Anolis sagrei: one gene and its partner. The protein of the gene in region 2 binds, or shares a complex with, the protein of the main gene of each other region. Links are inferred from orthologs where the notes say so. Each region holds a gene or a part of one and is shown on either strand. Other genes may lie near its edges.

Evidence for each region. The genes of interacting proteins can lie anywhere in the genome.
Region 1: EPC1 (region 2) and VPS72 share a complex: the UniProt entries of both Homo sapiens proteins name them as parts of the nuA4-related complex. The link is inferred for Anolis sagrei from reciprocal best matches to the Homo sapiens genes EPC1 and VPS72.

Annotation. Positions count from the first base shown.
Region 1 is NC_090032.1:6,555,567-6,559,320, reverse strand, and holds the start of VPS72 (vacuolar protein sorting-associated protein 72 homolog), read right to left. Parts: upstream 2,840-3,754; 5' UTR 2,794-2,839; coding exon 2,650-2,793; intron 719-2,649; coding exon 566-718; intron 90-565; coding exon 1-89. UniProt on the Homo sapiens protein: Deposition-and-exchange histone chaperone specific for H2AZ1, specifically chaperones H2AZ1 and deposits it into nucleosomes.
Region 2 is NC_090026.1:112,422,022-112,425,775, forward strand, and holds the start of EPC1 (enhancer of polycomb homolog 1), read right to left. Parts: upstream 2,149-3,754; 5' UTR 1,833-2,148; coding exon 1,680-1,832; intron 1-1,679. UniProt on the Homo sapiens protein: Component of the NuA4 histone acetyltransferase (HAT) complex, a multiprotein complex involved in transcriptional activation of select genes principally by acetylation of nucleosomal histones H4 and H2A.

The DNA.
Region 1 (3,754 bases), on a different chromosome or scaffold from region 2:
TCCGCCGGAGTCGCTCTTTCCTCCCGGACTTTCTGGGAGCTGCTGGCAGGCACCTCCGGCTTCTTAGGCCTCAAGCTTTTGATGGGTTCCTAGCAAAGATTCAAAGATGGGAAACTAATAGGCATATTCCCTCAAGAGCAGGACGTGTGAAAAAGATCTTTGAGTCCACATGGATAGCAAGTTAAACCTGAGCCAACAATGTGATGCGGTGGCAAAAAAAGGCAACAAGATTTGGGCCTCTATAGTGTCTAGAATCCAGGGAAGTCATGCTCACCATGCTCTATTCTGCCTTGGTTAGACCACACCTGGAATATTGTGTCCCATTCTGGGCACCACAATTGAAGAATGATATTGACAAGATGGAATGTGTCCAGAGGAGGGCGACTCAAAGGATCATGGGTCTGGAGAACAAGCCCTATGAGGAGCAGCTCAAAGAGCTTGCCTAGGCTTTGAAATCTCCTCTGGAATACTTCCGTTGCTCCTACTCTACTGGAAAGCCAAGCAAATGACTGTAAAAACATGCAAGTTACCCATCCATATTTGGGTTGATCCACATCTGTCTCACCCTGTAGGCCTTGGTCACCACTCGGCGCTTCCTTTTGGGCTCGTCGTCGTCCTGGTCGCTGTTGGGCTCGTCCCCTTCGTCGATGTCGAAATCCGAATCCACTTCATCGTCACTGTCGGACTGATCACCCTTGTATTCGTCGTCACCGGATTCCTGCAGGGAACCCAAGAGTATGGCTAAGCAGGGATGGAGTTGGATTTATGTGAGGTTTCTGGGCAGCATTCTCTCCCGACGTTTCGCCCACACCTATGGCAGGCATCCTCAGAGGTTATGAGATCTGTTGGAAACTAGGCAGTGAGGGATGGAGTTCCTCTCAAACCTTGCTGATCCCCCATTAGATAATAATAATAATAATAATAATAATAATAATTTTACTTATTATCCGCCTATCCTCATGGCTCGAGGGGATTATGGCATAATTAAAACACATGAACTTCTAAAACTTCTATAATTTAATAATGTTGTAATATAATATATAATATTTTTATATATACTAAAACTTATGATATGGTACAATATAATATATAATATTAATAGTATAACATACTGGTATGTATTATATATATTGTGGTATCATCATATAGTACAATATATAAAATATATAAATAAAAATGTAATGTTCGTTTGTTCTATTCATTATTGTATACTTTAAGTTATGTTTTTGATTGTGAGATGCTTTAAGTCTCCGGGTGGAAGGATAAAGCAGGATATAAATAAATACATATATACACACATATATTAAAATGTATTTTTATTATATATATATATATATATATATAGTTGTAATGTTTTTGACTGTGAGCCGCTTTAAGTCTCCGTATGGAAAGATAAAGCGCGATATAAATATATATATATATATATATATTGTATATTTTAAGTTGTAATGTTTTTGACCGTGAGCTGCTTTAAGTCTCCGTATGGAAGGATAAAGTGCAATATAAATAAATAAATAAACACACACACACACATATCTATATATCTATATATAAATGTATTTCTATTTATTATTGTATACTTTAAGTTGTAATGTTTTTGATTGTGAGACGCTTTAAGTCTCCGTATGGAAGGATAAAGCGCGATATATATATATATATATATATATGTATTTCTATTAATTATTGTATATTTTAAGTTGTAATGTTTTTGATTGTGCGCCGCTTTAAGTCTCCATATGGAAGGATAAAGCGCAATATAAATAAATACATACATATATATATTAAAACGTATTTCTATTTATTATTGTATATTTTAAAGTTGTAATGTTTTTGACTGATAAAGCAGAATATAAATAAGATAAAGCGAGATATATATATATATATATATTATTGTATATTTTAAGTTGTAATGTTTTTGACTGTGAAACACTTTAAGTCTCCGTATGGAAGGATAAAGTGCGATATAAATAAATACATACATATATTAAAATGTATTTCTATTTATTATGGTATATTTTAAGTTGTAATATTTTTTTTATTGTGAGCCGCTTTAAGTCTTCGTATGGAAGAATAAAGCGCGATATAAATAAATAAATACATATACATATATATATATATTATTGTATATTTTGAGTTGTAATGTTTTTGACTGTGAGCTGCTTAAAGTCTCTGTATGGAAGGATAAAGCACGATATAAATAAATACATACATATATATTTAAATGTATTTCTATTTATTATTGTATATTTTAAGTTGTTTTATTTTTTTTAAATGCAAATTAAAATGTATTTCTACAAAATACATCTTAAAATAACACAGGACTGAGATTAAAATTCATGCTTCAAACTGGTTGGGTAGGCCAATTAAATAGATTTATTATTATTATTATTATTATAAGATGCACAATAGAAGCAAACAGGAGGATGAGATCAGCTGCAAGTTGCAGCCCCGCCCATTCTTTTCCTCTCAGCCAATCGCTGGGCTTGCTCAGAATAGAGCCCCGCCCACTTGGGTAAGCCACGCCCCCGAGGTTTAATCAGATCCAACTCGGTGGCCCCGCCCTTTCTTTTGAATTCTAACCAATCGCCGTGTCGCTAAGGCCTCATTTTGCATAGCCACGCCCCTTTGGCGATCTCCCTCAACTCTTACCTCAGTAAAGCCGCCATAAGTCGTCTGGTAAAACTCGTCCTCTTCTTCGGCTTCCAGCAGTCCCGAGAGCTTGTTGCCTGCCGTCCGCCGCGGCGCTCGGCCTCCCGCCAGCCCCGTCGGAGCGGAGGAGGAAGCCGACGCCATGTTGGCCGCCGCTGAGCAGCAAGCGAAGTTCGATGCGCTCGGAGCGCGGCTAGGCGCCCTGGGTCTAGGCTTGAGAAAGCGAGGGCAGGCCGGAGCAATCGATCGCCGAGTCCTAAAGGAAATCAAGAGCTGTGCTCTATGGATGGATGTAAACATATGTTTGCTGGTTGGTTTGTATTAGAAAGGCTCCTCCGTGGCTTGATGGATCTGGATAGAACTTGGCACACACATACTTCATAATAATAATAATAATAATAATAATAATAATTATTATTATTATTATTATTAATTATCCATCTTAAAATACTGGGCAATTAAATAATATATAGAAATAATAACATTGAAATGTTAATATTATATATATCTATATAAATACTCTTCAGTGTGCCCAAGAGGGAGTTTCTCATCCGGTCTCAGCCACTGACTGAGATGCTGGGTTTGAGCCTGCCACTTTTGGACTCTCGCTTGCTGAGGTGTGAGTATCTCTGTAGATCTTAGGAAGCTGTTTCTTGATTTAAGGCATTGGCATGCTGGCTGATATCCGAACACAGGATGGGCCACAGACGTCCATGACTTGGTCCTTTCATTGCTGGCTGCTACTTCCTATTTATTTATTTATGACATTTACTTACTTACTTACTTAGGCGATCCCTCGTTGGACGAGTAAGATGGTCCTCCATTATGGATTTCCTTGTGGGTCCGTATGTGGCTGTGGAGCCCTATTCTTGCTCTGCATCTTCTTCCGCAGTGAGGGCATTGGTTTCCAGGTGGAAGGCGGTCCCGGTCGGGGTTGGCTTGACGCGCCTTCCTCCTGGCACGTTTCTCTCTTTCACCCTCCACTCATGCCTCCTCAAATTCTGCAGCACTGCTGGTCACAGCTGACCTCCAGCTGGAGCGCTCAACGGCCAGGGCTTCCCAGTTCTCAGTGTCTATGCCAGAGTTTTTAAGGTTGGCTTTGAGG
Region 2 (3,754 bases):
CCAGATAGTTTGGACTTCAACTCTCACAATTCCAAAGAGCCAGGAACTGTGAGAGTTGACGTCCAAAACACCTGGAGGGTGTTTTAGTGTTTTGCTGCATTTGTTCATTTGAATTGTTTAGTGTTTATATATTAATTAGTATATACTATACAACAGGGTTTCTCAACCTTCCTAATGCCACGACCCCTTAATGGAGTTCCTCATGTTGTGGTGACCCCAAACCATAATTTTTTTTACTACTTCCTAACTGTAATTTTGCTACTGTTATTAATCGTCATGTAAATATCTGATTTGCAGGACATATTTTAATTCAATGGACCAAATTTGGCACAAATACTCAATGTGCCCAAATGTGAACACTGGTGGAGTTTGGGGTAAAAAGACCCTGACATTTGGGAGTTGTCGTTGCTGGGATTTATAGTTCACCTACAATCAAAGAGCATTCTAACCTCCATCAATGATCTAATCAAACCAAACTTGGCACACAGAACTCCCATGACCAACAGAAAATATTGGAAGCTTTTGGTGGGCATTGACCTTGAGTTTTGGAGTTGTAGTTCATCTACATCCAGAGAGAACTGTAGACTCAAACAATTAAGGCTCTGAACCAAACTTGGCACAAATACTCAATATGCCCAAATGTGAACACTGGTGGAGTTTGGAGGAACCAGACCCTGATATTTGGGAGTTGTTGTTGCTGGGATTTATAGTTCACCTACAATCAAAGAGCATTCTGAACCCTACCAACAATAGAATTGGGGCAAACTTCCCATAAAGAACCCTTATGACCAACAGAAAATACTGTGTTTTCTGATGGCCTTTGGTGACCCCTCTGACACCCCCTCACGACCCCTCCAGGGGTCCCGACCCGCAGGTTGAGAAACCCTGCTATACAAGGTATGTTTTATGTCTACCTCATAAACTTTGGCCCTCCAGATGTTTTGGACTTCAACTCTCACAATTCCAAAGAGCCAGGAACAGTGAAAGTTGAAGTCCAAAACACCTGGAGAGTCTTTTAGTATCTTCATAGTGTTTTGCTGCATTTGTTTATTTGAATTGTTTAGTGTTTATATATTCATTAGTATATACTATGCAAAAATTAGTATATACTAATTTTTTGAAATGTGTTTGATACGAGTGAAATAAAAGCTGTTGAGGTGGCTGGGATTTCTGGGAGTTGGAAGTCCCAAACCACCTGGAGGCCCAAAAGTGAGGGGACCACTCCTGGAGTGCGAGCCTGGGAAGAGAGGAGAACACGCGGGGCGCGCGCAGCAGCAGCAGCAACACCACATGGCCAGCCTGGACTTCCTTTCTCCCCAGCTGGGAGCGCGAGGCGCAGGCGCCACCTAGCGTTGCCTGCCTTCCCTCTCCCAGGCCCAGCCCTTCCAACGAGCGCCTCCACAAAATGGCGGCCGCCCGCCCGTCGCGTCACGTGACGCCCTTTGTGCCTTTCGGGGGGCCGAGAGCGAGCGAGGCCGGGAGGGCGACCCCGAGGGCGCGCGGAGGGGCCCGGCTGGCTCGCTGTCTCCCCGCTCCCTTCCTCCTCCTCCTCCTCAAGGCAGAGGGAGAGGGCTCGAGAGGGCGAGGGCGGCGGGAGGGGGGGAATGGCGGCCATTTTGTGCCTGCGCAGAGGCGGCGATGGCGGCGGGAGGGGTTTTTTTCCTTTCTCTCTCACGTACCGACTCCTCTTCCTTCTCCATGCCCGTGGGCATCTGCGGCACGGCCCGGTTGATGGAGGCATACTCGGCCAGGTCGGGCAAGTCCTCGCAGCGGAAGACGGGCAGCGGCTTAGACGCGTCCAGCGCCCGGGCCCGGAACGACAGTTTGCTCATGCTAGTCGGCGGCAGGGATGATGATGATGGCGGCGGCGGAGGAGGAGGAGGAGGAGGAGGCGGGCGGGGGAGGGGGGCTGGAGGCGGCGCTGCTGCTCCGCGCGGAGAGCCCGGCCCGGGCGACGCCGAGTGCTCCTCTCCTCCGCCGCCTCCTCCTCCGCCGCCGCCGCCCTCCTCCGCCTCCTCGCCGCTCCGGCTCCGCTCAGCGCGCCGCGGCCAACATGGCGGACATTAAACCTCCTCGACTGGCCGCCTCTTCCAGCCAACCCCAGCGCCACAGCCATTCCCACACTGCATCGCGCAAAGGGGCGCGCGCACGGCGCCGACAGGAGGGGGCGCGCGCAACAGGAGACCGCGCGGGCACGAGCGGCAGGCTGGCGGGAGGGAGAGAGAGAGAGAGCTTGGAAAGAAACAGGCGCGATGCTTCGCACCGCCTCACAAACACACTTTGGAAGGGGTCCCCCCCCCCTCTTTTTTTGACCTCTCGCCCAGAAGATTTTTGAAAAACCCGACGGTTATTTCGTCCTCTGTGACATCAAGCCATTCTATAGAATTGACGGGGGAACCTTGTGTTTGGACACCAGGCCTGAGCCAACTTCGGCCCTCTTTCCAGATTCAGACCAGCTATATACTCAGGGTTAAGGCACTACAGCAGGCCTGGGCAAACTTGGGCCCTCCAGGTGTTTTGGACTCCAACTCCCACCATTCCTGACAACCTCAGGCCCCCCCCTTTCCCCCTCAGCCTCCTATTTTAGAACAGGCCTAGGTAAACTTGGGCCCTCCAGGTGTTTTGGACTCCAACTCCCACCATTCCTAACAGCCTCAGGCCCTTTCCTTTCCCCTCTCAGCCGCTTAAGCCTCTTATTTTAGAACAGGTCTAGGTAAAGCAGCTGAGGGGGGAAAGGAAAGGGCCTGAGGCTGTTAGGAATGGTGGGAGTTGGAGTCCAAAACACCTGGAGGGCTCAAGTTCGCCCATGCCTGCTATAGACCCTGTCAAATATTCTTCCAAAGCCGCTTAAGCCAACTTCCGCCCTCTTTCCAGATTCAGACCGGCTATACTCCTTCCTCCCCCCCCCCCGTCTCTTATTTTAGAACAGGCCTGGGTAAACTTGGGCCCTCCAAGTGTTTTGGACTCCAACTCCCACCATTTCTAACAGCCTCAGGCCCCTCCTTTGGGAAAAGGAAGGGGCCTGAGGCTGTTGGGAATGGTGGGTGTTGAAGTCCAAAGCTGTTAGGAATGGTGGGAATTGAAGTCCAAAAGAAGGGGCCTAAGGCTGTTAGGAATGGTGGGAGTTGAAGTCCAAAGCTGTTAGGAATGGTGGGAGTTGGAAGTCCAAAAGGAAGGGGCCTGAGGCTGTCAGGAATGGTGAGAATTGAAGTCCAAAGCTGTTAGGAATGGTTGGAGTTGAAGTCCAAAAGAATGGGGTTGAGGCTGTTAGGAATGGTGGAAGTTGAAGTCCAAAAGGAAGGGGCCTGAGGCTGATAGGAATGGTGGGAGTTGAAGTCCAAAGCTGTTAGGAATGGTGGGAGTTGAAGTCCAAAGCTGTTAGGAATGGTGGGAGTTGAAGTCCAAAGCTGTTAGGAATGGTGGGAGTTGAAGTCCAAAAGAAGGGGCCTAAGGCTGTTAGGAATGGTGGGAGTTGAAGTCCAAAGCTGTTAGGAATGGTGGGAGTTGGAAGTCCAAAAGGAAGGGGCCTGAGGCTGTCAGGAATGGTGAGAATTGAAGTCCAAAGCTGTTAGGAATGGTTGGAGTTGAAGTCCAAAAGAATGGGGTTGAGGCTGTTAGGAATGGTGGAAGTTGAAGTCCAAAAGGAAGGGGCCTGAGGCTGATAGGAATGGTGGGAGTTGAAGTCCAAAGCTGTTAGGAATGGTGGGAGTTGAAGTCCAAAGCTGTTAGGAATGGTGGGAATTGAAGTCCAAAA